3 linked regions of the Nothobranchius furzeri genome follow. The protein of the gene in region 1 interacts with the protein of each later gene in a pairwise test. Links are inferred from orthologs where the notes say so. Each region holds a gene or a part of one and is shown on either strand. Other genes may lie near its edges.

The links.
Region 2: the proteins of mkrn2 (region 1) and rack1 interact in binary tests that used the Homo sapiens proteins (3 or more experiments, as listed by UniProt). The two-hybrid records come from large-scale screens. The link is inferred for Nothobranchius furzeri from reciprocal best matches to the Homo sapiens genes MKRN2 and RACK1.
Region 3: the proteins of mkrn2 (region 1) and htt interact in binary tests that used the Homo sapiens proteins (3 or more experiments, as listed by UniProt). The link is inferred for Nothobranchius furzeri from reciprocal best matches to the Homo sapiens genes MKRN2 and HTT.

What each region holds. Positions count from the first base shown.
Region 1 is NC_091743.1:77,110,813-77,120,612, forward strand, and holds the end of mkrn2 (E3 ubiquitin-protein ligase makorin-2), read right to left. Parts: intron 8,813-9,800; coding exon 8,684-8,812; intron 8,505-8,683; coding exon 8,395-8,504; intron 7,281-8,394; coding exon 7,152-7,280; intron 7,056-7,151; coding exon 6,880-7,055; intron 6,794-6,879; coding exon 6,728-6,793; intron 6,658-6,727; coding exon 6,509-6,657; intron 5,258-6,508; coding exon 5,147-5,257; intron 5,031-5,146; coding exon 4,886-5,030; intron 4,796-4,885; coding exon 4,631-4,795; 3' UTR 4,299-4,630; downstream 1-4,298. Other genes in the region: protein FAM107B, read right to left, coding at 3,261-3,284. UniProt on the Homo sapiens protein: E3 ubiquitin ligase catalyzing the covalent attachment of ubiquitin moieties onto substrate proteins.
Region 2 is NC_091741.1:97,229,556-97,240,747, forward strand, and holds rack1 (small ribosomal subunit protein RACK1), read right to left. Parts: upstream 5,743-11,192; 5' UTR 5,631-5,742; coding exon 5,522-5,630; intron 5,059-5,521; coding exon 4,887-5,058; intron 3,686-4,886; coding exon 3,538-3,685; intron 3,250-3,537; coding exon 3,154-3,249; intron 2,995-3,153; coding exon 2,884-2,994; intron 2,646-2,883; coding exon 2,505-2,645; intron 2,315-2,504; coding exon 2,204-2,314; intron 2,004-2,203; coding exon 1,938-2,003; 3' UTR 1,887-1,937; downstream 1-1,886. Other genes in the region: nme5 (nucleoside diphosphate kinase homolog 5), read right to left, coding at 812-946. UniProt on the Homo sapiens protein: Scaffolding protein involved in the recruitment, assembly and/or regulation of a variety of signaling molecules. Interacts with a wide variety of proteins and plays a role in many cellular processes.
Region 3 is NC_091746.1:25,520,695-25,531,416, reverse strand, and holds part of htt (huntingtin), read right to left. Parts: intron 9,797-10,722; coding exon 9,659-9,796; intron 7,355-9,658; coding exon 7,196-7,354; intron 7,121-7,195; coding exon 7,023-7,120; intron 6,936-7,022; coding exon 6,796-6,935; intron 6,686-6,795; coding exon 6,622-6,685; intron 6,541-6,621; coding exon 6,440-6,540; intron 3,477-6,439; coding exon 3,330-3,476; intron 3,135-3,329; coding exon 3,014-3,134; intron 2,936-3,013; coding exon 2,793-2,935; intron 2,718-2,792; coding exon 2,533-2,717; intron 2,444-2,532; coding exon 2,217-2,443; intron 2,096-2,216; coding exon 1,969-2,095; intron 1-1,968.

The sequences.
Region 1 (9,800 bases):
ATGACCCAGTGGCAGCCCAGTAATGATCCATTTATGGTCCAATAACTCACTCTGCAGTTCTCCAAACTAATTAAATGGTTTAGTTTAATACACACCTGCATGTAAACCGCACGCACGCACACACACACACACACACACACTCTCACACTTGCACACGTGCACACTCACGCACATACGCGCGCGCACGCACACACACACACACACACACACACACACTCTCACACTTGCACACGTGCACACTCACGCACATACGCGCACACACACACACACACACACACACACACACACACACACACACACACACACACACACACACACACACACACACACACACACACACACACACATTAAAGCCTAGATTGACTTGAAAAGCCTCAGACCAGAAGGGGGAGTCTGACTCCTGCTGGAGCCACAGTAAAATTACATCTCAGACCAGAAGAACCAGAACCAGAGACCTTTCTCACTTGCAGGTTGAGGACCAGGGTCAGGTTACTTCAGGGTCACACACAGAGTGGGAACCTTCAGCTCCAGTTTTAGTCACTCATGTAGAAGTTATTTTTATTTTAATGTGTCTCCAAAGTCACTCAGACCATTCTAACTTCTGACTGAAGTTCTAGGCAGGACATCAGAACACGTCTGTCTTCTTATTTCTGAAGGTTCTGGCTTCTTTTCTCTTCTTGTTTCTGAGACAGTCACATCAGTTGTTCATTTATTTTTAGCTGCAGGATCTTCTCTGCTCATCCTAATCCATGCTTTGACCTGCTGATTGTGTGTGTATCACACACACACACACACACACACACACACACACACACACACACACACACACACACACACACACACACACACACAACACACACACACACACACACACACACACACACACACACACACACACACACACACACACACACACACACACACACACACACACCTCAGTGGCCTGACGGATCTGATCCTGAATCAGGTGTGCTCTGGTTACATAAGTACAGCTGAAACCTTTCTGCTGTTATTCCTGAACTCCTCACAGGAAGTCGGTGCTGATCTCTGATTGGTCAAATCGCAGAAAAACTCAGAAATCCTTTTTTTTTCTGCTGTATTCACCCTGTCTTCATGTTTTGAGTTTCAGATGAATCAGAACTTGGATTCAATTATTATGACCAGAACCGCCCAGAAACCCGGTTCTGGGTCATTTGTGTAAAAACTGGTATTTACATTTGGCAGAAGCTTCGATCGATTAGCAGGTTCTCGCTACTTCCAGGCCCGTTGATTTCACTCAGAACATCTCTACAGTCTTACTGCACCACCTGTTGATCACATTATCACATTCTGTCATTGGGACACAGATCCAGTGGAACCGGTCTAGAAGTTCTGAGTAGTTCTGTTGGGCTGTGTTACACCTTTATCACCAGACTGAATTTTTAGAGTCTAAAAATATTCTTGTAATTAAAAAGAAGCAACACCTGCAAACCACGCAGAAGCTCTGCTGGTGACCAGTCTCAAACCTCACCAGGGGGAAGAGGAACCCTGTCTGGGGGGGGGGGGGGGGGGGGGGGGTCCAGAAGGAACAAATCCAGAGAAATCTGCATGTGTGTGTGTGTGTGTGTGAGTGTGTGTGTGTGTGTGTGTGTGTGTGTGTGTGTGTGTGTGTGTGAGTGTGTGTGTGTGTGTGTGTGTGTGTGTGTGTTTCCCCTTAAATAAACACTTGATTAATATTTTCTTTTTAACGAGTCTCTGGTCGACGATAGATTACTCTCCCCTTGTTGACCTTTGACCCTGAGACATGCCTCAGCTGTTGTCATTGGAACATATAACTTTAAATAACTCAATGAGTCAGTGTGAGCTCCACATTACAGCCACTCGACCTCCAGTCAGGCCCCCCGAACGGCTGGCTGTCAGCTGTTTGTCACCGTGGAAACCAGCCCACACGCCTCTACAGGTTTGAGCCCCTCATAACTCAAATAGTTTTCAGAGCTCCGGTTTCCTACAGACCCACAAAGACAAACTCAGCCATCACTGGAGCTTCAGCACCACATCCACACATTTGTGCTTGTCAAGTTTATTTAGGGTAGTTTTCCTGTAGTTTCTGTGTTTTTGTCCCTGCAGATCTGAGCTGTGTTAGATATCAGGGCAGTGCTTCAGCTTTGAGGATGAAGCAGGAACCAGAGAGGACACGGTCTTCAGCTGAATATCAGGACAGGTCCAAACAGCTGCAGAAGAAGTTTGACCTAAGCAGGAGTATCTAAGCATTTAGTGTCAGATGAACGTTTTATTTAAATTTTTAACAGTCACGTGTTTTGCTGTGACACGGTTGGTGTTGATGACAGGAAGTCTCTGGATCTGACTGTTTTCTAGTTTCTGGGTCTGATGAATAAACGTGAGTCTTATCAGTATCTGGGTCGTGTTTTATGACCGGAGCTCACACGTCTGCTTTTTAGTAAAGGTCAGTGAGGGCTTGTGCTTCTAGTTACCAGGCAGTACTGTGGCCTAATATTTTCATAAAAAAATATTTGAAATATTCAGCATTTTTATTAGAACTCATGTCAGGATAAATCTAAACCTGGTGCGTCTCGACCTCGTCTTGGTTTTCGATTTTTGTTGCAGCGGCAAAGACATTTATCAGATCACCCGTCTGAACGTCTAACAGCCACATTTTATCTGAACCGCTGGAGAATGGACCTCCTGGTGGGACTGAGAACCTGTGGTCTGTTCTCTGTGAGGAGCAGGACTGGAGCCCTGAGGCTGGATGAGCAGCAGGATGTTCTGAACCTGTGGTTGTCTTAACAAACATCATTTTAACCCTTTCATGTTGTTTTCTGGCACAGGCTTCCATATGCAAGCAGGATAAACAACAAGCATCTCCATCATCAGTGAGAGATTACCAGAATCACTGAAGCACTTTGGGAGATGTCAGGACCTGCAGAACCCCGGTCGGACCTTATTACAGCCAGGACTCATTTCATGCAGCATTAACGTGATTATCAGATCTGTTCCGGCAGGCTGGTTTAGACATTTTCCAGCAAGTAAACACCAGCAACAACAGAGCAGAAACTAATGCTCATGAGCTGTGCTTACATTCAGCTCCACCTGCAGTCAGCGTTCAGGGTTTAGTTACAATCATATGGGGGTAAACATTTGTTCATAAGAAAGTCACTGGTCCTTCTAATCAGTCGACAAATCACCTTCAGGACCTCCTAAAAGTCTAAGAGCCTGTGAGGAGGAACTATTCTGTCAAAGGGAACCTTTAAAAACTCACTGACCTTCTTTCCATAAGCAGCTCCCATTATTCCCACTCCAACGGGCCTCTTTCCTTTCTCTCCACTCCAGCTCTTTATTTCCCAGCAGCAGTGATCCGGCTCTGTTGCTCCTCACTGTCCTGTCCCCTTGGCCCGGCAGCGGGACACCCGGGTCTCTGGGTCCATTAGCTCGCCACAGGGTGAGGAAAACTTCAGATCAACAAGCGGTGGAGAAGTGAGCAGCCAGACAGGGCTGAGCCAGTCTGAGTGTCCGAATGTGTGGAGCAGCAGCAGAAGGAGGAGGAGGAGGTGTCCCTGCCACCTGTTCCCACATGACTCTCTGCTCTCAGCTGTGGGGAGATAAGGTGCTCTGACTGGATTAATGTAATTGGAGGAGACAAGAAACCAGAAAGCAGTGAAGTCTGAATCTGGAGTCTTCTCCACTAAACAAGTTCAGGGTGAAGATGACAGACCAACACGTGTGGAGCCAGAGGAAGCCCGCTCCAAAGGACAGATGGATCCACCTCCAGCCTGCTGTGGAGCTGAGAATTCACCCACTCCTTCCTTCAGGGTGGTGGAACCACTGAGTCATTCCTGCTCATGGTGAGCCTCCAGATCAGAATCTGTGCCTCGTTGGGTGAACTGGACCGCCTCTTCCCATCGGAAGACTTCTCATCTCAGAAGACGTCCATTCAAAGAGCTTCAGGCTGATTAACTGTACTGAGATCTTCATCAGTAGAAGCTGAGGACCGGAGTGAAAGCAGATGTTTGAAAACAGATGTCCTCCTTGACTCCTCTTGAACCAGTGAGCCTTGCTGTGTCACTTGTCCTTCAGCTGTAGGTGGACAGGAGGACCTCCACCCGTGGAGGCTGCGCTCATCCTTTCTGGATGGTGAACCTTCATCGGGGTTTTGGTTGAAAGTATGAAGGTGTGAGTTAGAGACTAGACTCAAAGCTGCGTTAGCGTTCGGTAGCTTTCTCTGGTTAACGTTGGTTTTCTCCATCTGAGGAGACATTGAACTGGAGGTTTCAGGTTTCCAGGAGCAACAATGCAGCTCAGAATCAAACACAAACTTTTTATTTCAGCACGTTTACACTTTTGATCTGCAGACAGCTTTGGTTCTCCTGATGTTGTGATCATTTAACATCCGCGTGAGAATCAAACACTCAGGTGTGAGATTAGTTTCAACTAGATGCTAAAATTCATTTACAGTTCCCAATTTTCCTTTTAAACACAATAAATACTCTTTAATTTCCTTAATTAAACCGGCAGAAACAAATGCAGGAGGTTACAGAGAGGTCAAACGATTCAATGTGAGCGAATATGGTGATCTGATCCAGCTGAGCCACAGGTTACCACGGAGACAGCAGGTACTAAGGGAGGAACATCTTCACTAGTCTACAGTGGGCGGAGCCTCTGACTCTTCCTGGCTTGGACCCGACATCTGCATGAAGAGTTCCCGCAGCTCTGTGAGGTCATCATCCAGGGACGGAAGGGGCGGTTCTGATCGCTGTTCACGCTCCTCGATGAAATCCCACAAATGAACGTTGTTCATGAACTAAACAGAGAAAACACAACTCAGCATCAGAAACTACAAATCCAGCTGATGATGGACTACCGCTCCCAGGAAAAAGCTGTGGTTTCTTACCCGGACGTTCCCCTCTGAGCTCAGCTGCTTCCGAGGCCGGTCCGGTTCTGCTCGCGTGCCGTCTGGGAAGGTGTGAAGATACAAGCACTTCCCTCCAAAAGGACACGAGCCACGACCCTGATCAAAGTACTTACAGGCCTTCTTACTGCACACAAACAACAACACATGAAAACACACTTCCACCTGCGGCTTTAACTTCCTTTATAAACTAGCAGCTCATTGGCTGAAGATAAGTGGGCGGGGCTCAAGCACAAAGCTCACCTGACACCTGACTTGAAGAGTTCGATCAGGTTGTCCTTCTCTGCCTGATCCTCCACCCAGTACACAGAGGGAATGACGAACTCCGAGGCGACCCGACACTCCGGACACGATCTAAGACGCAGAGAGAGACGCTCAGGTCCAACAGAACCACAGACTAGCAAAGATGCTTTTTAAAGCAGATGTGTATGCGATCTCCGTCTCAGAGACACAAACCGATCCCGTTCCTGCACCTACAGATGAAACTGGTCCAGGAGTTCATTTATGTCAGTAATCCAACCTAAAGGTGAAAATAATCTACGAGACAGACTCGTTCCTTGCTAATCCAAAGTGTCGCACTCTAATCAGCTAATGAATCCAGAACACCTGCAGAGGGTTCTTCGGCTTTTAGATGGTCTCTCAGTCTGAGCTGGATTACTGACATTAATGAACATTTTTACAGTTTAACCTGTAGAAAACTTTTACCATGATCCTAATAATCAAGGATTAGTCTCAGGTCACAAACATGTGAGCAATAAATGTTAACGCACGTTGGAAGTAACGTATCTTCAGGGTGGAGCGTTTTCCTTATAGATTCATAATCTTCATGTTAATCTTTTTTTTGGGTAATCTGGTATTTTCAGTTGTTAGAAATCAATCAGAAGTTGTGAAAATCAGCAGGTCAGAGCCGTGTACGAGTCAGAACCTCTAGAGACCCCGCCATGGCAACAGGAAATAAGAAACTCACTCACTCGGGTCGCAGGGAGCTCGTGTCTAACTCCAGCATTAAACAGAAAGAGGTGGAGGACACCTGGACCTGTCTTAAGCAGGGGTAGACATTTATATCAGCTCGATATTTGTCCTTAGTAAAGCTGATTTAAAGTCAGGCGCATCCTCAGGCATCCCAGTGCTGTTGCACAATTTACTTTAAATTTACGTTCACTAATGACATCTGTATAATAAATACTCTAAATGTACTTAATTTAGGTGCCTGACTTTAACCCTGAGCAGTGCACAAAGTTAAGATAAGTTAAAGTCAGAGTTCATAACCGATTCGACTTCAGAGATTTCGTGCATCAACTGATGCCATCAGTAACATTTCAGCATGAGGTGGAAAATGACTGGATGAAGATCAGCCCATAAAAACCAGCAGTATGTATCGGCCATCGACTGATCGTGTCTCCCACATATTGGCAGCGGCAATAGAAGAACCGGTATTGGTTGACCTCTAGTCTCAAGTCCATCACAGGGAGACAGAACCAGTCCCACACTCGCTCACACCTACTCCAGAGTCTTCTGGGTCTAAAAAAAACTTCTTAGGACCCGATTCTGCCCCAGTCCCAGATTCTGGCCCCGGACCCTGGATGGTTTGAATCCGACTCTCACTTGATGATCTTGTTGCAGAAGGTTCTGGTTCCTCGCCACTGTCGGATGCAGGTGAGACAGAAGGTGTGGCAGCAGGAGGAAAGGATGCCAAACCTTCGCTCTGACGGATTCGACTTCTGAACCACCACCTCCATGCAGATGGAACACACCTGAACAACAACAACAACAGTGAGGATGGCCGCCGTCAAGGCAACCAGCTTACATACTCAACCAACTCACCTTATCCTGGCTGAGCTGAGCTGCAAAGGCCTTCTCCATATCAGCCTCAAATGCCAGCATGCACATCTGTGGGGAAACACGCATGCACACACACGTTAGGTTCCCACCATCCTGGACTCAAAGACATCTCCATTAACAGAACCTAGTCCAACCTTCTCATGCGCTCTCCTCTGCTCAGCATCATAGGGGTGGAGCACTTGCAGGCCGCATACATCACACAGGTTGCCATGGAGATATGTGCATCTGTCCTCAAAGTGACAGTGTCCAGCGGCAGCGTAGGGACACAGCTGGGGGACATTTTGGTAAGCCCCGCCTACTGGATGGGATTCTGCAGAAAAGGCAGGTAGATAGAAGTTTATCCCCCCTTCTCCAAGCACACTGATGACATCAAACAGAGCAGCCAATCAGACGGGTCAATCCAGACCTTGTTCTAGTGCCAAGACATCCAGTCCAGTTCTGATGGCGTCCACATATGTCTGTGGGGCTGCTGCTGCAGAGAAGCCTGAGTCCAAACTGTGTACTGGGCCGCCAAACGCAGCATCACCACCCAGAGCTGAAAAGCAGAAGAGATGTGGTGACAGAGGGGGTGTGGCCACCACAGTCGCATGTTGAACATCACCAGAGGCTTGTTTGTTGAAGCAAACTCTGAAAATCGAGGCACATTTAAAAGTCCTCACTTGAGTTAGCTTATCAGTTGAGTCTAGCTAGGTTTATTCTGTTCCACAAACGATGCTCAGGTGGAGGCAGTCCGTTAATCCATGCTAGATGAGTGAGAATGGAAGGAAAAGAAAGAGCCACGTCCTTCTCCCAGGTAGAGCAAGAATTAATTCACGCCTACAAGGATTACAAAGGTTTCAGCTGTTTGATGAAAGCTGGGCAGCTGGAGCCATTTAGTTGAGCAGCTGTGAGTTTTAAGAAGATAAGTTCATGTTGGTCACCTGACCCTCATGTCTTTAAAGGGATATTGTACCCCAAGTGAAATTTGGTCTGTTGCCATGACGGTGGCACGGGAGTTAAGTGCTCGCCCCGCTCAGTTCGTCGCTGTCGTTGTGTCCTTGGGCAAGACACTTAACCCGACTTGTCTGCTGTCCAGAGTACAAGCTGTTAAAATGTATAGTCACACCTATAAAGTTTTCCTTTTACACATGTTATGTTGGCAGATGTAAGTATTTAAAGCTATTTAACATAAAGAGGACAGCATGTTAATGATACGGGTCCATCCCAGACTAAAGCAGGAGCAGCATCAGTGGAATCAAACGCTCCTGGCTGCTAATGAAGATTAAACACAACAATATTCTTCAGAAGGATACAAATTCAACTAGAACTCAATTTTAAAAGATTAAACCCACATTTATTAATAATTTAGCCACTAAAAATAAAGATGCAACTGCTGTGGGCCAGCGGAGGCAGAGATGCACCACCTTGGTGCCGCCGGCAGGCAAGAAGAAGGGGCCATAACACTCACTCGAGGAACCAAACTGGGAAATGAGCCGGGATTTTTTTTGAGTGAGCCTGATTTATGGGATTAGCTCGATCTGTGGAACAATCCTCAGGTGTAACAAACTGAAAACACACACACACACACACACACAAATAATAGCTAATTTAGGTGCTGATATCACCTACTCTACAGGTGTTCAAGGCTGAAACCAAAAACACGTGTTTACCTCTGTCCCTCAGAACCAATGTCCTCTTGGCTTCACCTCTGCCTCCACCTGCCAGGTCCTCTGAAGGTGCACCCCCTCCTCCTCTGGGTGTGGGTTTTATGTGATCATACCTGTACACACATCACACAACCATCATACCTGTCCAAGCGATGCAACCACACCCAATCAGCAGATGCTTTACTACTGTCTAGGTCAAACGGAGCCAATATTACCTGTCAGGTGAATCATTTCCTGTCAGATTAATCTGCTACCTACCAGACTGACCTGTTGCCCGTCAGGCTTGTCTCACCTGCAGCGCTCTCCGTAGGCACACACTCCTCTCTGGTAGAACTTGCAGATGGTTGATGGTTTACTGTTGTTCGGGTCATGAGAGAACATACAGCGGCTGCCCTCTCTGCACACTCCATGGATGAAATACCTGAAACGAAGCACACCTGTCAACCTTACTGATGATTGCCTGTCATGTTCCATTTACTCAGGTAACCCCAGCTCTGAACATGTGATCCACCTCTTTTTAACTCCACAAAAAGTTCACCCATTCTAATGATGAAATGTAACAGACTGGGAGAAGGAAGCCCCGAAATTTTTGGCTTCCATGCAGCACGTTTGGACCGAATCATCCAATAGAGAGTGGTCTGGACCGGTTTGACCTGTAGAACTAGACCTGTGTGATCTGCAGAACTGGACCTGTGTGATCTGCAGAACTGGACCTGTGTGATCTGCAGAACTGGACCTGTGTGTTTCTATAGAACTGGATCTGTGTGATCTGCAGAACTGGACCTGTGTGTTTCTATAGAACTGGACCTGTGTTATCTGCAGAACTGTGTGATCTGTAGAACAGGGCCTCTGTGATCTGCAGAACTGGACCTGTGTGATCTGCAGAACTGGACCTGTGTGTTTCTATAGAACTGGACCTGTGTGATCTGCAGAACTGGACCTATGTGATCTGCAGAACTGGACCTGTGTGTTTCTATAGAACTGGACCTGTGTGATCTGCAGAACTGTGTGATCTGTAGAACTGGGCCTGTGTGATCTGCAGAACTGGACCTGTGTGATCTGCAGAACTGGACCTGTGTGTTTCTATAGAACTGGACCTGTGTGATCTGCAGAACTGTGTGATCTGTAGAACTGGGCCTGTGTGATCTGCAGAACTGGACCTGTGTGTTTCTATAGAACTAGATCTGTGTGATCTGCAGAACTGGACCTGTGTGATCTGCAGAACTGGGCCTGTGTGATCTGCAGAACTGGACCTGTGTGTTTCTATAGAACTGGACCTGTGTGATCTGCAGAACTGTGTGATCTGTAGAACTGGGCCTGTGTGATCTGCAGAACTGGACCTGTGTGTTTCTATAGAACTGGACCTGTGTGATCTGCAGAACTGGACCTGTGTGATCTGCAGAACTGGA
Region 2 (11,192 bases), on another chromosome or scaffold:
GAGCTCCAGTACTGCACACAAACACATCAGACATATAGTTGTGCAGCCTCACGTACTGTAGCCAGTTGGTGATAGTTGATGGTCCATGCAGTCAGATGTTCAACCACTCCTGCACCCCTCATCTTCTGCTGCAGTAGACACGGCTGTATGGTGTTAAAAGCACTTGAGATTGCTTTTTTGCATTTTGAGGTGAGCCAGCACCATCGACATATACCCAGTGCTGCAGGTAGAGGAGGGTGTCTTCCACCCCCATGTATATTATTTGGTGTGTAGCTGCACACATTACAGTTCACTGTTTTAGGTCTTCCACTAACTTGTCTATGCAAATTACTGACAGGTCATGGTCAAGAGTGAATGTGAAATTTCAGTCAAAAAATATAAGTAATCTGTAGTATTTAACATCCACACATTCCTAGATCAAATGGTTGACATGTTTCAGTTAACAGCAATAAGTATCTTTGAAGTGCAATTAGTAAAAAAAAAAAAAAAAAAAAAAAAAAGAAAGAAAAAAGATGTACAGAAACACCATGCAGACATTCACCTTTAAACGTTTAAAAGGTGTCTTAATAGGGTTTCCAGTAAAATTACAGCCCGTTACTGCCCTCTACTGAAAAAACTACGTAAGAGCCACACGGCCTCAAAAAGCGGTCACCTTTTGAAGCCATGAAGCGTAATATTTGAAACCAGATCGTAGGATGATCAATGGAAATCAGCGTTTATCGGGCATCTAAATAAATCTATTTTAATAAAAATATCTTCCTTCCACAAATATTGAAAACGCGCCTCTAGAAAGTAGGTGACTTCCACTCACCTGAAGTATACTGAAGCCAGATTTGACGATAACATTCTCAATCTCATCTGCCAGCTGAAACGCGTCTGGCTTAATGACGGCCAGCGTTTTCTCTACGATGACACGGTGATATGGCCTTTTACGATCCATCTTCATCTGAACGCTAAATGGCCACGAAATACGGCTCACGCAAAACTTGACTATGTAGCAGTAAACTAAACAAGGAACTCCAACCTGGAGCAGCACTCTGGGCTCGTTCTGTCGACTAGTTGCTAGGATACAATTACGGCGTCTGAAGTAGGACAATCCATGCGAATTGCAAACGTCAGTTGAACTTTCCAAATTACAAGCCCCAGATTTAGAAAACCACCAGTTAAATCAAAATTTTAATGACCGGTTGTCCCATGGTTTTTTTTTTGTGTAATTTTAATTCTGTATTCCATTTCAGATTAGCAGCCAAGATTTAATGTACAAGCAGTTATTTGAACAGTGTTAAAAAATAGAAATGTTTCAGACTTTAAATCCCATTTCACTTAATAAAAACTGGTCCAAGCTGATAGGGATGTTTCCATCCTCACAGCAGAATCAGTTCAATCTCCGCTCAAGTGAACTTTTGCAATTTGTTGTTCCTAAGGTTCGCAGAGCTGGGAAAGTCGGCTTTTAGCTTTGCTGCTCCATCAACATGGAATTCACTACAAAAAGATCTAAAAATCAAGGATTTGGTTTCCTTGAGTGGATTTGACTGATTAGGTCACTGGAATCCAGACCATCAGTGTGTTTGTTTTAATTGAGTTTATGTGGAAATGTATTTAAATGTGAATGTATTAATTTTGTAACTTGTGCTGCTGCTCTGTCCGTCTTGGCCAGGTCTCCCTTGCAAAAGAGATCTTGTATCTCAATGGGACCAACCTGGTTAAATAAAGGCAAAATAAGTAAAATAAATAAATACAGAAACTTAGTTTTCCCTAATTTTTCAATCATTTTTTCACGTTACTGTTGATCATTGTTTCAGCAGATTTTTTTAAATCGATGTGATCGATGTTCCCTTTTGATAAAAAACAATTTAACAGTCAAAATTAAATACAAGATCAAAACATTTTATTTTCAAAGAGTCTCTTTATTCAAAGCTGCATTAGCAAGGCTGTTCTTATCGTGTTCCAATGGTGACCTGCCACACTCTGATCAGGTTGTCAGTGTAGCCAGCAAACAAGGTCTGTTGAGTAAAAGAGGAACAGAAGTTAGCATCCATAATAGCACGCTTTTCAAAAAGGCTCAATCATGTGAGTGGTTCTCTGGTGCCCCTCATATTTGCAGGACTGTCAGCAGAATTAATCAGAGTTAAAAGTGAATGGGTATAATCACAGGGGTCACAACAGAAATCTGCATTTAAAGGTCCTCCAGAGAGTGTCGTACCTGTCCATCAGCAGACCACGCCAGGGAAGTACACTGTGGCGGTTCTGCCTTGCTGTTCGTGCTGATCACTTCCTGTTTCAGTTCATCCACAATGATCTTGCCCTCCAGATCCTGAATGAGGTAAAAGAGAACCAGAGTGATGGTATCTCTAACCAAGGTAATAAGTAACATACCTGAATTTATTGACATTCTCTATTGGGTCGGAGCTCAGAAACAGCCTCTGATATCATCAAACAATACAGCTAACATTTTAAATTTCATCACAGTCCTCCTTGATAACATGTTTAGCTTAACATCTTACCCAGATCTTGATGCTGGGGCCGGTGGCGGCACAGAGCCAATAACGGTTGGGGCTGAAACAAAGGGCGTTGATGGTGTCACCACTATCCAGGGTGTACAGGTGCTTGCCTTCATTCAGGTCCCACAGCATGGCCTGGCCATCCTGAACACCAACAGAAAACATTCTTCAGTGATTACATCGCAGCTCTTAACACGATACCCAACCCCACAAACGGGGATCGTGACAAGTTCAAGTCGTGCTCAGAAACAGCCTCTATTGTCATCATTTTAAAACAGATGTATGATTAATTTTCCATCATTGCAAAAACTTGTCCGTTCACTTAAAGATTCTAAAAAAGAACATTTTACAGAAATCTACAATTACTGGAAGCAGATGTTACCTTTCCACCAGATGCACACAGAGAGCCATCAGGGGAGACGGTCACTGTGTTCAAATAGCCAGTGTGACCAATGTGGTTGGTCTTCAGCTTGCAGTTGGCCAGGTTCCACACCTGAGAGGCATCACACCCGAGACAGAACAAACATCAACATCCAACATGGAAGCTAATCATAAAAAAGGTTGTCTTACGCAAGTAGTCAGCTAATAAATGCAAACTAAGTTAAACCATCTAACCAGGACCAAACATTAGCAAATTACTAGTAAACCATACCTTGACCACCTTGTCCCAGCCACAGGAGACAATGATGGGGTTGCTGCTGTTGGGGGAGAAGCGAACACAAGACACCCACTCAGAATGGCCTTCATCCTGCAAAATCAAGTTTGAACAGTTTAAAGTTCAGCTCATCCCAACAATGGCTCACTTTAGCTCATGTAACCACCGAGACTTATTCCATGATCCTGACACACTACACACTTAAAACCATCATACAGATTTAGTCCACAATGCTCCAGCTGATGGCTGAGCTGTGTGCTCTACCTCAGAAAATGTAAAACTAGTTAAAAAAAAAAAAAAAAGCTTGAACAAAAACTAAATGAAAACCAAAGAAGGAACAGCTCTAAGCAGCAGCAGCAGCAGCATTAAGTGACAGCTCACCTGAATGGTGTACTTGCAGACTCCAAGAGTGTTCCACAGCTTGATGGTCTTGTCTCGGGAGCCAGATACAATCTGACGGTTATCAGCAGAGAAAGCCACACTCAAAACATCCTTTGTGTGTCCAACAAACTGACGGGTGGTGGTGCCACTAGAAAAACACAAGATTAAGACGTCCGATTAGAATAAAGCTATATTAAGTTTACAGTTTAAAATGCCTGCCCTCCTCTACTAATTATGGCCTCTACAAGCTACAGTCATTTAAGGAGTTAAAACAGTTTTTTTCCCCACTTGTATTCAAACAAATCACTTTAGTACACAAACCTTAATGCCGATCAATGACAATTTTTTTTAGGTTCAGTTTATATCGGGTTCCAGCACTTTAGCCAGAATCAAATTCCAGCTCCTCACTTAGATGATTAAAACTGTTCAAACATGGACTGTAGTTTTATTCCTGTATAAACCCCAAACCCATTTATTTAGATCTACTGTTCTCTTAAGTCACAACTAAGGAGTGTATAAAGTGATGAAGGTGTAGTAAGGACAATAACACTGTGGAACAACAGTGTCGGGTACAAGAAACTGGGAGAATTTATTTTATAGGATCTCTGACAAACATTGTAATTGTATATAACTGCATTTTTAAATGTCTGCTGTTTATTATTTAGTGCGAGATTACTGAAGTTCTATCTGTGGTACAAAACACTAGTATAAAAAGCTGTTGCACGGTCATGTACACGCAAATGAAGTTTGTTCACCAAGATTGGGTTTACACATGGTGTAGCTTAACTAGATGTCATTTCCCAACTGTTTTATGGCTTAAGTTATGTTCCCTGGCAACTTGGTATTTAGAGGTCATAAGTGCTGAAATGTTTGTAGCTCTAGTAACAAATACGCATTAGCGCGGACTGTGTGTTAACATCGGTTCAAACACATTTTCATTTATAGAACAAAGGTGACAAATCATATCTTTAAAACTATCCAGGATGTTTGTTACAACTTAAATTTAGAAAGGACATACTTCCAGCTAATACAAACATGCAAGTCTTTACCAACTTACTTATTTCTAAAAAGAAAAGCATTAACTAGTTTAAACTGTGTTCCACATAGATGCTTAGATGATGCAGATCAAGGGTCAGCAACTTTTTTCCTTGAGGGGTACCATCCTGCAAGTTCCACACGTTTCCTGCTCTAAAGGACCCAGATTAACTGATTTCATCACAACCTTCCTAAGTTGACTTCTCTAGATGCTCTCACACATTTAAATATGTTGGGAGCAGGTAAACGGGTAAAGAGATATATTTACAGGACAGCGGATCTGATGTAGAAGCTTTCTTCCTAGCTGTACTTACGTGGTGAGGTCCCACAGTCGGAGGGAGCCGTCCCAGGCGCCTGAGAGAGCAAACTGTCCATCCGAGGAGATGACAACATCACTTACAAAGTGAGAGTGGCCCCTCAGAGAGCGCTGAGGGATCCCATAGTTGGTCTCGTCACGAGTCAGCTTCCACATGATGATGGACTTGTCTGAAAGTTTAACACATAAGGTTCAGGACTCAGGAGTATTGCCTAAAGCAAAGAGCAGGTAGGTAGCATTAGCATGCGAAGCTAGCACTTAAGTTAATATCAAGTTAATATCACATTGCAGCGCTTGGTTCAAGGCCTTATAACCTCATGTCAAGTAGTCTGATGTTTAACTGGATGAATCAGTGTCGGTGCTATGTTGGTGTAAACCCAGGAGTGAAACACAGTAGATCCAGCTAATGACGCTAGAAAGCACAAGTTTAACTACACCAGGTTTCCTCCACTTCTGAAGTCGCAAATGTTCACTATAAGCGATTAATGAGCCTTTAGGCTGTTGTAATCACATTTCAGCGGTCTTCTGCCACTTCCGCAAAAATCGTATTTTTGTAACATTACCAAAGAGTCACTGCTAGCTTACAAAGCTAGCTGTAGCCATGTTGGCGGCTGCCGGCGGGGGAAGCCTCACCTCGGGACGCCGACAGAATCATGTCGGGATACTGAGGGGTAGTGGCGATCTGGGTGACCCATCCACTGTGGCCCTTCAGGGTCCCCCTCACTGTCATCTGCTCGGTCATTTTGACGAGGTTCGGTGGTGCCTTTTACAAGGATGGATTCGGATATTTCTCAGGTTCGTAAAAACCTAGGTCCTCATCGCATCTAGGCACGGAGGAAAAGGAAGTACAGACCCGGATGCAAAAACTAAGAGGGGTGAAGGGCTCGCAGAGCATTCTGGGATATGTTTTTTTCCCCAAGTCATCCAAGTGTGCTACAAGAAAAGACTGAAGGGGACTGTTTAGAAACATGATAAAACATTTCACTTACAACACATCACCATTATATATAAGTAATACACACTGATTTGGTTATTGGTAACAGCTGTGCACATCCCTGATATGTTTCTGTCTGAATGAATAAAGGAAATTAAGCTCTTACGAAACATAGCACCAGTAAAATAAAATGTCTGTGATGGACACAAATTTTCTGATTTTAGAATATTCTATATTTTACAAACGTCCGTATTTTTTATACTTTATGTTACACACACACACACACACACACACACACACACACACACACACACACACACACACACACACACACACACACACACACACACACGAGCTTTAATCCCATAATATTTGTTTCTTTTCATGTGAAAGGCGGCTTTAAAGTTGACGCCTTGATATATTTTATACCAGGGATGTCCAAACTTTCCTAGATAAGAGCCAAAATCAGCAAGTTAACTGTCCTTGTAGGCCACAACATATACATTTTTTAAATGCTAAAAATATTTATTCTTGCATTTGTACTCCCTAAAATTTGTCAAAATGGACTATTAAGTTTGAACATACAATGTTGGGGGGGGGGGGGGGGGGGACGACAGTGACATAAATTGCTCCAAGGGCGACAAATGAGGGCCACATACATGCCTGCTCTATACTTGTGTACTGATTAACAAACAATCTTTAAAATTTGAATTTTCATTTCATTTCACTTTATTTGTAAAGTCTCTTGTATTTATTTATTTATTTATTTATTGGTTCTTTTTTAAACACAGAGAAGAAAACTTTTCTTTCCTGTGTTTAAAAGAGAACCAAAAAAAAAATACAAGTTAAAAAGACCCAGAATGAATGCACAGAAGATTGTAATGTCCCTTCCACAATCTCATCAAACACCCAAGGTGCTGGACAATACAGCAGGCAACAAGTACAAATAAGACAATATAAAACAACCATAAAAACATATAACCTAATAAAAAAAGGCCAATTACAGACAAGACAATGATGCCACGCTACAAAATAATTAATGTTTTATCTCACATGTTGAACAACATTTGGAATCCTTCAATTTCCAGGCTTTCTACTGGTATGTTTTATGAATAATCTGATATTTCTATATGTAAACTACTGCACAGCTACACTATTTCAACACTGTTACATTAGGCTGAAGTGAGAATATTGGTAACAGTGTTGTGTGCTTAGAAAAAAATTGTATGGTAAGCCTCCTCTCACTGTAAGACTTGATCATCCTAGCAGATGACGTTTTACTTTCTAAAACATGTCATTTTCAAACTTCTTTAGTCATTTGCTTTATTTTACTAAAATAAAAGTTGAAACAGCTGACTAGAGCTACGGCCACAGAGTAGTATGTGCCTGTTGAGTCTTTTGGTCTGAGGCACCAGATACCAAGTGAAGTGTGGTTCAGGTGGTGGAGGAAGAAAATACCTGCTGGAAGGAGTTTGATGAGGCCATGGAGGAGTTTCATACTTTGAGAAGATTCTGGTCCACCATTTGATGTCTCAGGAGGGTGACACAGCTGCACCACCAACACTGTTTATGGTGGGGATGGTGTACTGCTGACCTCCACTTGGGATGTTGTGAGTCAGTGGAAAGAGTACTTTAAATACCTCCTCAATTCCACTGGCACATCTTCCATTTAGGAAGTGAATTCTGGGGGTTTGGGCTATCAAGTCTCTAGTGCTGAGGCAACCAAAGTGGTTAAGAGACTCCTTAGTGGTAGGGCTCCAGTGGTGGGTGAGATTCGCCTGGAGTTCCTCAAGGCGCTGGATGTTGTGGGACTGTGTTGGTTGATGCGGCACAGTAAATATTGTGGATACTGGGGGCAGTTCCACTGGATTGACAGACTGGGGTGATGATCCCCCTATTTATAAAGAGGTACTGGATGGTGTGCTCCAACCACAGGGGGAAAACACTCCTGAGCTTAGCAGGCAAAGTCTCTTCAAAGGATCCAGAGACAAAGGTCCCCTGGATAATCAATCAGATTTAGGAGGAAAATGTGATATTCTCCTGGTCTGTGGAACACTAGACCAGCTCTATACCCTTAGCAGGGTCATAGAGGGTGCACAGGAGTTCATCCAACCAATCTACGTGTTTTGTAGACTTGTAGACAGGGCTTAATTTGAGCCAGATCTTGCTGGAACAAGATCCGGGAACTATTTTATTTTGAAAGGCAACTGTCTGCTAGGATTCAGCAACTCACGTGACAAACTTGTGCTATACGCAACATTCGAAATATGGGTGAGCTAGAGGGAGCTCCTGGAAGCCCTCAACTTCTGAAGCAGGGGAACTGTAAAGATGCAAAAACTACCATTGTTAAAAGAGATGTGTGTTAACTTAGAAAATGTGGGCGCAATTTTAATTACTAGTCAATTGCTGGCCATTGTGGATTTCACTTCCCATTTCCGCCAGTATCTCCTGGGGCAGCCCTTTAACCCTCTCAGGCTCAAAATAAGTTTTGATAAAAGGACGAACAACTAAGTCCTTCAGGGGTACTTCTAAGTTAAAAAATGCTCATGAAATATGTATGTGGAGCATCAGGTAGGTAGGTTTTAACATTGCAAATCAGCAACGCCTGCCTCCACAGGGTTAAGGTGTGCACAGACCATGGAAGCCTGCATTGGCTTACAGAGATGAAAGAGCCCGAAGGACAGTTAGCTCGTTGGCTTGAGAAGCTTGCCAAATATGACTTTGAGATCGTTCATCACCCGGGTCGGGTGCACACAAATGCTGATAGTCTTTCCAGAAGACCATGCCACCTGTCTAGCCTATGCAAACTTCCGAACCCATCTACACATTTGGCATTCCAGTGCAGCTTGGATTCTGATGGGAGATTTCTGTTGCTGAGTCCAGTGGGGGTGGAAGAGCGACCGGCGGGCTGACACAACAGTCTGTCCAGTGGGGGTAAGTCAAAGCACCCCTACACCCAACACAAATATTCTAGAGTCTAGACCAAAACACTTCCACACATACAGACACAATACATCAGAACATTCCCACTGATTCACGTGTTGTAAAGCAGACTGAGAAGGTACATGTGTTCCTTTGTTTCATGGTTGGACCATGGGGGACTTGAGCCAGGCCCAGGATGTTGATGCAGATATTGCATCCATTCGTGCCTGGATGGAGGCCAGTAATGAGCGCCCCCCGTGGACTGCTGTTTCACTTTGCAGCCCAGCCACTAAAATTTATCGGACTCTGCAGTAAGTTGGGCTCATTCCCATGAGTTGGACTCTGTCCAAAGGCTACCCTTTGTCACAGATTCTGCTCCTAACATCTATGGACTGGATTTCTAGGCACAGCCAAGGTGTTGAGGGGATCTGTTTTGGTGGCCCAAGGATCAGTTCTCTGCATTTTATAGATAATGTGTTCCTGTTGGCTTCATCAGACCGTGATCTCGGCCACAGGTGAGTTTGAAGCAGCCGGAATGAGAATCCCACCTGGAAATCATAGACCATGGTCTTGAGTCAGAAAAGGGTAGAATGCCTTCTCCTAATGAGTGAGGGAAAATGTAGTGGGCGATCAATAGGATTGGTGTTGCATCTAAAGTGATGTGGGCATTGTAGCGGTTTCTTATGCCGAAGTGAGAGCTCAGCCAATTCCATCTTTGGTTCTTTTCTGAACACTGAGTATTAGAAATGTTATTTACCTTCTTGGTGACAAGTTTGGGCTACATCTGTAGCCTTCTTCAGAGCGTCACCAATGATGAAAACGGCTACAGATGTAGCCTAAACCTGTCTGTAAAAAGGTAAATAACAAATATCTATCACTGTGTTTGGAAAAGAACAAAATAATGGAATTAGATAAACCTACACAGACAGAACTCTGCTCAAGCTGCCCTCACGACCAAAAAGGAAAAGACACATTAGCATGATAAAATGAAACCATAACACTTTAAAGTTTATTTTTGTCTGCATGTTTACGGACCAGATTTTTTGTTTTACTTATTTCACATATATATTTATATTTGGACAAGTAATTACAAAAATAGCTTAAATCTTTTACAACCAATGAACACAACCAAAAGTAAAAACATTCACACAAAGTTTAGCTAATACTGTTGTATTAAGATCTGTTACAATGTGAAACTCCAATCAGACACTGTGCCATGAACGTACTTCAATAAACCAACATTTTAAAAAGGAGCTGATAGAATCTGTAAAAGAAATAAACACATATGAAGATATGCAACAGATAACTACCGTCTGACACTGAAATACAGCAAAACTTGATCTTTAAATCGTCTTCAGTTATACACAAGTGTTCAAATAAAATGTTTCACCCATCGTGTACGTTTTTGAATTTGTTGATTTCAGCTTAATATCTGAAACACTCTTTTCTAATAAACAAATCCTCAATAAACTTAAATTAAAACAAGACTGATACAGAAATTATTTAGCAAGATGAAATAATAAAAAACATAGAATCCAATAAAACAGCAGAAATTAGAAATCTGCAGCATGACTGAAGCAAATCCATGAGGCTCCATCAGAGTAACACTGAATAAGGAAAGCAGCAGGGCCTTTATTTAAAAATCTACCTAATCTTCCATCAATATCCCTGTGGATCCTGACATAAACGTTTATCAGTACCAACCAGAAAGTGCACTTGTTGCAGATTTTTATATAAAATTCTGCATCTGTGCGTGCCTTTTCTAAGTGGTTTCATAAAATAGCTTTGAAATTAAAGAAGCACCAACAGATTTTCCATCCGAGAGAAATGTGTTGCAACACCCAGGTAAAAAAACAAAGGCAAAGACTTTTCTGAGAGCAGTTACAAAGGTTTGTATAAAATGCAAAGCAAATGACAAGTTTAAGGCACGCTGCTTAGTGAAAATGAATTATGAACTCATAAAAACACACGTTTCAATCAAATTTCATGTTAGTTTCAAAACAAATTGAAGTCAGCAGCAACAAGTTCTACTGTTGTCCAAAACAGGCTGGAAGCAGAGATCAAACACACCTTCCTTTGATGTTAAAACACTAAATAATCAGTCAAAATGCATCAGATGAGGGTGATTATTTCTCAAGGCTACAATGATTGATCAGTAATACTGCAAATGGTTCCTTCAGACCTGCCCTTTAACATTCATCGTCTGCTTATATTTAAGGAAAATTTCAGGAATGCAAACTGGAACTGGAGAAAAATGGAAAAGAATAAAGCAATATGTTTTGTTTTGTTCATTGTGGTGAGAGTCACACAATCTGCATGCTAAACAACACGGGGATGATCATGCATTAATAAAGTCATACAAAACATCATTGTGACACGTCCAACATATCTCCACGGCAAACTCCTTCCTTATGTGCCAGAGACTCCCAAATAACTCAAATCTGTAAG
Region 3 (10,722 bases), on another chromosome or scaffold:
ACGGTGGATTGATATTACAAACGCCATTACCACGTACCTGCGTAAGGACATGGTGCCGTTTCTTACAGTGAAGAAAAGCGGCTTTCGGGACACGATAAAGACACTCGATCCACGTTACGAGATACCGAGCCGCAAACGCTTCAGCCAAACATTGATGCCAAAACTACGAGAAAGTCCGCGAGCAAGTAAAGCAAGAAAATTAATAAATGTTCTTAAAATGGCATTTTATACTGTTTGAAGTGTTTATTCTGCTGCTGCAATGTATCTGGTATGTGAGTTAGGGCTGTCGCGGTTGAGGAATTCCCCCTGCGGTGATTCAGGGTGGCTTAATATTGCGGTGTGCGATATTATTGCAGCACTTTTTTATTGCAGTACTATCTAAACATAATGTTTACACATTTAAAAAAGGTTAAAAATTGCCGTGCCTTCTTTAATAACACTTTACTGAATGCAGATCAAAGGGCAGTAACAACGCAGATCGCAGTAACGCTTGTTTCTCCGACAGTCGGAGTCCGACTGAACTTAAAAACAACAAAATTCAGGAGGTTAAACTTTTAAATGCAAATTTGGCTGCAGCATCTAACAAATAATAAACAAGTCCCCATTTTGTTTAGTTGTTTAAAATCAAGCATAAAAAATTACATGTACCGGGCGCGCGCGCGCGCGCCGGGGGGCGGGCGCACTATCATTTCACTTTCACACACACGAATGACGGTGATTTATAGCTCGGTCACGTCCTTGTTACCTACAAGGAAAACCAGCATGTTAACTACGGTTTGAGAGAGGATCTGAGAGGGGCGGCAACATTTGCAGCAACACTGAAAAGCCTCTCGGATGGTGCGCTCGTTGCACTAACACACACGTACTTGCGTGCGACTCTGGCGAGCAAAGGGAATCTCCCGTTTGTTGCTCCACCATGTCACGGGGGTTTTCTTTAGGGTGGATGCATTCCTCCTGCAGGTAGCGAGTGAGCTCCAGCTCGGCTCAAACTCTCTTCGGGACGGCTGCAGAAGCAGTGCTTGTCCGGGACTTCAGCAGGTCTCCGAGCGTTTATTTATTTATTTATTTGCCGCTGGTGGCAGCTCTGTCTCGGCCAAGGACTCTGGCTGCGCAGCAGCTGACGTACTGAAAACCAAAGCGCTCCCAAAGGAGCGAAGTAACGTTTCGTGTTGATACCAGTGCAGCCATCCTTCTCAACATGCATCATTGAGTTGAACCAAGTTCAGTAATCGCGGTGGCCCATGATGCAGCGCGGTGGGCTTCTTCATATCGCGATATTTCATTTTTGCGGTTACCGCGACAGCCCTAATGTGAGTATGTTTAGAAACTGTCGTTTTTGACATACATACAAAAGAAAGTCATATATCACAATATATACCGTTACCGCATATTTTTCTGATTATATCGCAATACAGATTTTAGGCCATATCGCCCACCCCTAAACTCGTTCACTCGTTTCTTCAGTATATCTGCTGTGGTCTCTATGAATGAATGAATGCTTCTTGAGTCGATTTCTGTGGAAACAAAGCTATGGCGCTCTTGTTTCAAGAAGCAAAAGTTGGTCGGAGGAGTGCGGTTTGGAAACCATCAGGACCGCCATCCATGATATGGAAACATCTTGCCTCTGACTGGCTAACAGCAAAGCGACTTTCTTAGGTAGAATCTATAATGTTGGTGTTTTATCTCCACAAATAACTGCTAATGCTATTGGTAAGCTTCTACTAGCCGAGGCACACTCTGCTCTCATTCCTGTGGGCGGTCTTAAGCAAATGTGGGCGGGGCCACAAATGCTCATTCCCCCTGGAATGTAGAAGAGGCAGGGTTTCGCAGCTGATTCTGGCGAACACTTGTCTAGGGTTCGTGTGAAAGTTACCGATGAAAACTACAGGGTTTCCATGGGAACCAGATCACTCATTGGTTCAGAGGCGACTGCACATCCATGTTTGAGCACGGTCTGGAGTAACTCACCCGCGTTGACCTCGCTGCTCTTTTTGGGGCTCAGAGGAGTCGTGCTGGGCTCTGCAGCCTCCTTCTCCTTGCCTTTTCTCCTGATCGGACTGAGGGAGGGCGTGTTGCTCAGGGAGGGAAGAGCCGCCTAAAACACAAAAGGAGAAAAACAACAGACTCATGCAGCTGTAAACTGTACTCAGAGGTTAATAAAAGGCAGCAATGAAGGCCCGAGTGCGCCGCCGCTTTGAAAAAAACAAAGAAACTACATTTCTCACTTTAGCGGCTGGTCCTGGCGGCGTGTCTTCCAACACGTGAGCACAGATGTTGAGCACCTTCAGGAGATGAGAGAACAGCTGCTCCACCATGACCACCAGGGAGCGCTCTGACAGTGCCGGCCACGGTTCCTCCATTTTATTTGGGCCCCCACTGGCGTTCCCACTACTGCCTTCCTCCTCTCCGACCCAGGGGTTGCGCAAGCATCGAGGAGCCACAGCTGGGAACACGATTACGAGGCTGGTTAGTCAATGGCAGGTTAGCGACAAACGCACCAAAGGACGGTTCACTTTTATGTAAACTTCCCACCAGACAGCAGGTTGCCGCAGAGCAAAAGTGCATCTTGATGTGCAGAGAGATCCAGAGGGAACCAGGCAGAAGACAGAAGGGACAGCACCATGTTGGCCATTCCTACGGTCAGAGTCCTCCGCTCAGCGTCTGGAGCTGATGAAGTGGCGGCTGAAGACGCTGGAGCGCTGCTCGTCTGGGACAAACTATCAAAACAAAGGAGCGAAAATCACAACAGCGCTACCGTGGCATTAGGAACCAGTGAGAGCGGTTCCACAAACCTGAGGGACCTGCCTCTGCTGCGGCTCAGACTGGAACGAGACGAGAAGCTGCTAGCGCTAACGTAGCCACAGTGCCAGCCTGTGCTCCAGGTGCCGACCGGAAAAGCCGATGCCAGGAGGCACAGAGCCTCACAGCAGCCAAACTTCAGAGGAGGCAAAAGCATTTTAATACGTTAAAAACACACAGTGTGAAGCAATGTGGTGCTGCAGGAAACACCTACGGTCAGTGCTCTAGAGGTGGAGGACGTGAACGCGTGCGAGACGGCCGTTACAACTCGGGACAAGTTGTTTTCCAAAGTGACGTCAGACACGGTTTTAGAAAGGTTGTAGCCTCGGTACGTCCTGAAAGTAAAGCAAAGCGTTGAGGTGGCAAAAACATGGTCCGAGTTCCTGTCAGAAGATCCAACAACGGGTTCATTTTCACGGACAAAACAGAAAAAAGCACCGCGGTGAGCGCTACAGCAGTGATGACAACCGTCAGAGCACCCCCGGCTGAAACAGCCGACAGCTCTGGGTGCTACAGAAGGAAAAGCCCACCTTGTGATGGTGCTGACCGTGAACTGAGACGGGGGTTGAGTCTCGTGCATCAGCAGCTGTAGGTAGACCGAACTCTGGTCCCGAGCAATCGCCACCACTGGGTCCACTTGGCCTTGGTCACAGTCGAAGAACAGTCTTGGAACTAGTCTAGTAGAGAGAAGTGCGGGTTGATTTAAAACAGGGCTCGGCAAACTTTTCCCATCAAAGAGACGTTATTACCCGTTTCCCACATTAAAGGGGCATTATGGAAGTTTGACAGCCAAAACATGTATAGAAATAATAAATGTCTTCTTCATACATTCTCCTGCAATGCCCTGGTCCTGGAGAATGAGCCCTGGCATTTTTACTGTGATTGCCTGTTTTTCTGTAAGATCACAGAAAAAGAGAGCTGCTCGGGTCGAGCAGGCTGCTTCATGCGCGTTCACGCTCAGGCATAGCCCTCCGAACCGTTCTTTGAACGTTGTTTCAGCTGTCATCAATGATATAAATGTTACAGATACAAAGGACGTCATTGGCGCTTTAGCTCGCCTAGTAAGACATCGGACTTTCGTGCTGAGGATCCGGGTTTGATTCTGGATGTGAACATAGTTCATTTAGAGTTTCTTTTTACATTAATGGTATATTTTTTACAGTAAGATGCCCAAATTTTTATTTGAGACTCGCTGAACGGCATTGAATTCACAGATAAAAAAGATGTGGGTTCTACTTTCATTTTGGAACAATTTTTCAAGCAAGGGAAGGGAATGATCTGAGCATGCAGGAGGACTGACCCATCATAAACCTTTGTCGGCTGTGCTGAAGAGAAAGGTACAGAACCAAATTATTTAATTAATTAGCTGCGCATTCTGTCCTCTTAGGGATGAGCGAGTACACCACTATCTGTATCTGTACTCGGAGTGGGCGTGGCCTAACCCAGAAGTGGGTGTAGTTTAACCAGAAGTGGGTGTGGTTTACATTAATACGTTGTTTTAAGTCTGATCAGAAGTTGCTATGTGTATTGTTTATTTGAAAACTATTTACAGAGCAGCCTCAGAGTTGAGATTAAATGTTTTTGATCACAATAGTAAAGGAACTATTACAGAACAAGTTTTTCAATAAAATCAGAACATTAATATTTAAGTGCAGAGAGAGAGAGAAGAAAAGATCTTTTCTATAGCGCCTCTCAAGATAAAAATCACGGGGCGCTTCACAAAAACAAAACATGTAAAAAAGAAAAAAAGAATTTAGAAAATGATTAAAATATATTTAAAATGATTAAAAAATAAGACAATTGTGATTAAAATATGTAAAGAAAGAGAGAGAGTGGACAGGAACGAGGGAGTTGATCCTGAGGAAGAGGGGAGGGGAAAAAAACGACCGGAGCGGAGGCAGTGACTGACGCAGCACGAGCTGTTTTCAGCTCTGTCTCGTCAAATGCACCACGTACGTTACGGAAAAAGCAGCTTTAAGTAACTTTAAAGTAACTTTAAAAAGAAGCAAACTGAAGAAAACGTAGGGAGTATTGAAGAAACGTGAACAGTGAAGCAAGCACAGAGAGATCCGTTATGGTCTGTGTGTGTGTGTGTGTGTGTGCGCGCGCGTGGATGGACCGGACGCGGACTGAGCTGTGAGCTCCCACTGCAGTTTTGTGTGTAGGGAGGGGCGGGCACTCTATTTGACTGGCCAATCACAGAGCGGGAACTCAGTCAGTTACCCAATGAGGATTTTCCTTCAGCACGATTACAGATATTTACGAGTTTTACTCGTTTCATGCTCGTACTCGTCAAAAATATTTTATCCGTACCGGATACTCGTCTGACACCAGTATCCGGCTCATCCCTAGTAGTTATGTCAATCAAGAAAAGGTTCCCATCAGAGCTGGACACTGAGCTCAGCGCATGCGTAAGGTGGACAGCGAGCTGAAGATTTATTCAGCTGATGTGTAGATCGGGGGTTTGGAGCGCGTTGCAGAACCGGTGCGCATGCAGGAAGATTCCTCTCACTGAAGCGAGTGTTTCCCAAACCGTGTCTCTCAGAAGCCCCCTTCAGACAGGCCATGAAAAACGGAAATGTTCCGGACTCTGTCCGTAAGACCTCTGTGTCTGAATACAAACATCCGGATAAGGTGTTCCGGAATTTTACCGGACGAAACCCCTAGTAACAGGTCCGGACTTGTTACAGACAGGGTGGCTGCTTCAGACTGGTGAGGTAAAGTTCCGGACAAGGGGGAGGGGAAGGAGGAGGGGAACGGGGACGCTGTGCGCACCTAGATAGCTCGCTGCTGTAGCATGCGACGAACCACGGCAGCTTGCCTCCTACGGTACTGCCTAGACGCGCGATGGAGCGCTTCACACCGCTTCAGTGATTCCTTTAACCATTGAGCTTCATCATCCAGGTCTCTTATGCGTCTTCGTGTGCGCAGAATTATGCTTAAGCGCCTCGTGATTTTTATCTGGAGAGGCGCTATAGAAATGATATTTTCTTCTTCTTTTTCTTCTAAACATAAGTCAGATTCTCCGCCCCTACCCCACCCCCCGCCGCCGTCAGACATCTGGAACTTTTCCCTGCTGTGTGAACGCAGCCGAAAGGACAAGTTCCGGTACAAAAGTGGTGTGTCTGAAAACACAGTTCCGGTTAAAAACCGGATTGAATTGTCCACAAATGTTCCAGAATGTCTATCTGAAAAAGGCTAGAGAGACTCGTCTCTTAGAAAATGTACTCTATTATGAAACTTTGGCTGAATAGCGCTTGTTCCTGTCTCCAATGTGGCGACGCAGCGATGCATTCATGAGCCTGTCTGAGGCAAAAGTCCAGAATCTCACATCCTTCTCAACTCAGAAAGCCCCTATAGAGACATTTGCAGGTGACCTGTCAGCTGTTGGACCTGTTCCGGTTTACGCTGACAATCTTTAAATTTAGAATTGGCATACAGATAAAAAATGAATAATATTCAATATTCATTCATTATTTTACGAGAAGGGAGCCGCATCAGATGGATAAAAGAGCCGCGGCCGACCCCTGATTTAAAACAAGGAAATAAAACTAGCTTAAAGCAGCATGAAGGAAGAATGACCTTCTGTGGTCAGATCTAGGTACTGCAGTTGATGCATCAACACAAGTCCGTCACACACCTGCTGACAGCAGACGCCGCCACGTGCCGGACTCTTGGGTCGTCATCTCCCAGCAGACGTATGACCACGTCATTCAGAACTCTGTCCTGCAGCAGCAGCCACTAGAAGAACATCAACCAACCCAGAACAATAAAGCTCCGGACTAATAACAGAAACACGGACGAAAACAGGTCTGAACCTACCTTAGTGTAGTGATGAGCTCCTCTGTGTAAAGTTTCTGTTTTCCTCTCCAGGAAACCGACTAATCTAAAGAAAAATCAGGAACTTTAACATGTGGAAATCCTCCAGACACACAGAATATCTGGAGTCTCGTCAGTGTTTGAGATGTTGGATTTGGGTATTCGAGTTTGTTTTACCTGAAGTCTAACTCAGCCAACGTTTCCAGGAGCTCGGTGCGAACGAGCCAGTAGGAAGAGTCCCACAGAGCAAAGAGGTCGATCACCAGCTGCAGGCCGAGTTCACTCAGGGTGCTGCTGCAGAGGGTCATGATGCAGTGCTGCAACACCCACAAGTAGTAAAAAAAGTCAGACTCACAACTGCAGCTAGAGCCCCGAGACCCAAAAAGCACACGGGTCCACCTCACCCTGACTGCAGAACAAGCCATCTTACAGGTGACAGAGGAATCATCTTTAAGAGTTTTCTGGAGCAAAGGCACCAAGTCCACCAGGGACAAAGGGTTACCTAAAGAGCAGGCAGACCTGATGAGCTACTTTTATAAGGTTTAGAATGCCAGCAGCAGAAAAAGCAGACGCTAACCTGTTGCACGCTGCACACTGGCCAGCCAGGTGTGAATGTTGTAGCGTGTTTTGGTTAGCGCAGCTTGTATGATGGCTCCGCAGAGGATGGCTGTGGCTCCTCTGATCTGGGGGTCCCCGTGGGTGATGAGGCAGAGAACGTCGCTGACGTACTGTCGCTCTGCAAAGGGATGCAGCATAAAACACAGCAGGTCACGGTCCACTGCAGGAATCACCCAAAATAGGAGATATTTTAGCAAATATGCAGTTTGTAAATATTGTGACTGTAAACGGATTAATGATGCTTTAAATACCACACTGGAACGTGGCATGTCTGTTTGCTAAATATCTTAGGAAGTTTTCACCAGATTCACTTCGAGGAAACACCGAGTCAACTCGATTCAAGATGGCCACCAGACCTCCGTTTCACGCTGCTAGCAGAGTCAGAGTGTTTCTCAATGCCGAGGAACCTCGCCGTGATGTCTTGGCCCCGCCCCGGTTGCCTAGGAGATACGTCATCGGGAGCCGCCAAGGCATGCTCCAATGTTCGTGTTCTACCGAGGCGTGTGTTCTCCGTTTGTTAGCCGTTTAGCTAGCTGAGCGAGGACACACGGGAGGGGTCTTGTAGCCTAGCCTTGGTCAAAAATTACCCACAATACACCGCTGTATTTTGAAAAAAGACAGTGGATCAGAAGCCGGCAGCTACTTCGGGGACAATTTTCAAGTTTAAAAGTAAGTAAACTAATTTAAAAAATTTTTTTTAGATCCTAAGAGTTATCTATGGTTGTTAGTTGCTTGGTAGTTGCAGCTTCGGTGGCTAGCGGGTAGTAACTCGCTTATATTTTTAATTTAATTAACATATACACAATTTAAAAATTCAAAGGCTCGTTATATATTTATATTGCAACTAATAGAGATGAAATATAACGTTATCTTCCGTGTCACGTGACGTTACGTGACCGCCGTGGAAGCTGCGGTCACATGATGCAAGTCTGTTCCATTTTACCGTTTTCTTTGACCAAGGTCCTCGTAAGCAAGGCACCTGGCCTCGCAAGACATCACCTTGCAAGGCCAGGTGCCTTGACATTGAGAAACACCCTCATTCTCAACACAAACCAGGTGCAAGGCCTTGCAATGTATGACAGTCTTTTAGATCTGACCACAACAGCTGTAACTACATTATTATTCAACAAAAGGGTTTACAGCTCAAGCTCAAAGGTGGGATTTCACATCAGCAACTACGTGTTGATGGATGTTGTCCAGCTTTAGGACGACATCATGTCTGGGTTTTAAGAGACGAATGCTGAGCAGAAAAAACATCATCAGGTGTAAAAGTAAAAGCAACCATTTTTATTTCAGACTTATTAATCAATCCCTTACCAATTAATAGCTACAGTTCTTTTGAACATCTTATTCTTAGTTTTCCTAATCCAGATTATAAAACTGTAAAACTGCTCTTGTTTGTAGTTTTATATCGTCCACCAGGCCCTTACTCTGAGTTTTTGGATCAGATCTCTGATTTTTTATCAGATTTGGTGCTAAATACTGATAAGGTCATTATAGTGGGGGATTTTAATATTCATGTGGACATTGAAAATGATAGCCTCAATGTAACCTTTAGTAATATCTTAGACTCAATTGGTTTTACTCAAAGAATACATAGCTCCACCCACTCCTGCCATCATACATTGGACCTTGTGCTGACTTATGGCATAGAGTGTGAGGAAATAACCATCTTTCCACATAATCCAGTCCTCTCGGACCACTTTCTGATAACCTTTGAGTTTTTTATAACTGAGTTCTCGAGACATGAAAGTAAATTTCACTATAGTCGGTCTCTATCTGACAACGCAGTTGCATCTTTTAAATCAACTGTTCCATCTTTACTGACCTCAGCATCTCAGAGGAACGTAGCAGAGGGCAACATTTTCATTACTAGCTCCTCACAAATGGATGCCTTAGTTCATAATGTTACTTCCTCTTTACGTGTGGCATTAGATGATGTTGCCCCTTTAAAAAAGAAGGTAATTAGGGACAGGAAGTTGGCTCCCTGGTTTAATTCTCATTTACAAGCTCTAAAACAAAACTCTAGAAAATTGGAGAGAACATGGCGCTCTACGCACCATGAGGAGGCCTACCTATCCTGGAAAAATAGTCGTGTGCTTTATAGTCAGTGACTAGATGCAATTTGCTGGGTTCCTTATATAGGAAACTTTTTTCTGACTGGCTTAATGAACTGACCTGTATTGGAATGTTTATTACGTGAAGTGCCTTGAGACGACTCTTGTCGTGATTTGGCGCTCTATAAATAAACTTGAATTGAATTGAAAGTAGTTTGTCTGCATGGCTTTTTCCAGGATCATCTACTCTACCATCAATGAGAGCCATAAAACACAGAAAGATTATTATAAACGCATTTTAACAACACCAACAACTGCAACACTCAGTTTAAAGAGCTTCGCTGTGTTATTTTATTTTGTCCTACCTTCTACTGGAACGCCATCCAGCGGCTCCAGGTAGAGGGGGTTAAAGAAGGCTTCGGGATGCAGCGCTGCTGCTGCGCCGACACAGCTGACAGCCAACGCCTTCACACTCACTCGCACCTCTTTGTCAGGGATCAAACCTGAGCAAACAAATTATTGCACAAACAGAAACATACCATACCAATTTTTTTATAAGGCACCATTTCAAAATAGCATGGTAGCTAACCAACGTGCTGTACATAAAAGAGCCAAATGCTTGAACAAATCAACAAAACACAATGAAAGCATGAAAATCAGGTCAAATACATAAAAACATAGCATAAATAATCAAGGATGAAAATCCCTAATAAAAACAATGGAATAAGAGAACCGTTAACGGCACTATCAAGAATAAAAATAATGCAACGAATGATAAAAACCATTTGAAATGGAAAATAAAACCAAAAAAACTACAAGATGGTACGAGGTGTTAAAAGTGAGCTACGGAATAAATAAAAACTAAATCAAGAAAAATAAACCCGGTGCTGGATTTTCATGTTAAGTGTCACGGAGGGAAGGCAATCCTGAAAAAGTGACTTTGAACTTGAAACGCACTGAAAACCCTTCACCCTTCAGCTCCGACATGAGGGAGTTACCTTTGTGTTACCATGTGAAGAAAAAACATGAATGTGATGAAACAAATGTTTATAATCTGTATGAAGGGGCAAACTCCACCTGCAGTCAAGTGAGACCAACAAGCCAGCGACTAACATTGCAGTTCCCCCCTCATCCACTAGGGGCTGGCTAGAGAAAGAAGCACATTCCCACTGGCTCCCATGACATCCAAGTATCTTCCCTTGTTCTGTGTCCACCAGAACCAGAAACCCACGATGCCAGAATAACGAGATAGCGCTAAACACCCGTCACCGTTTTCTAGGTCCAACAGTCTTGTCGTCCGTGACTTCAAATGGTGATTTTCTTTTTGGGACTCTGGTAGTTTGTCGGGCTGAAAGATCCAACATTTTTTAACTGAAACTGCAATTTCAAACAGCACGATCACGTGACCGTCAAAGCTGCAGTTTTAGCG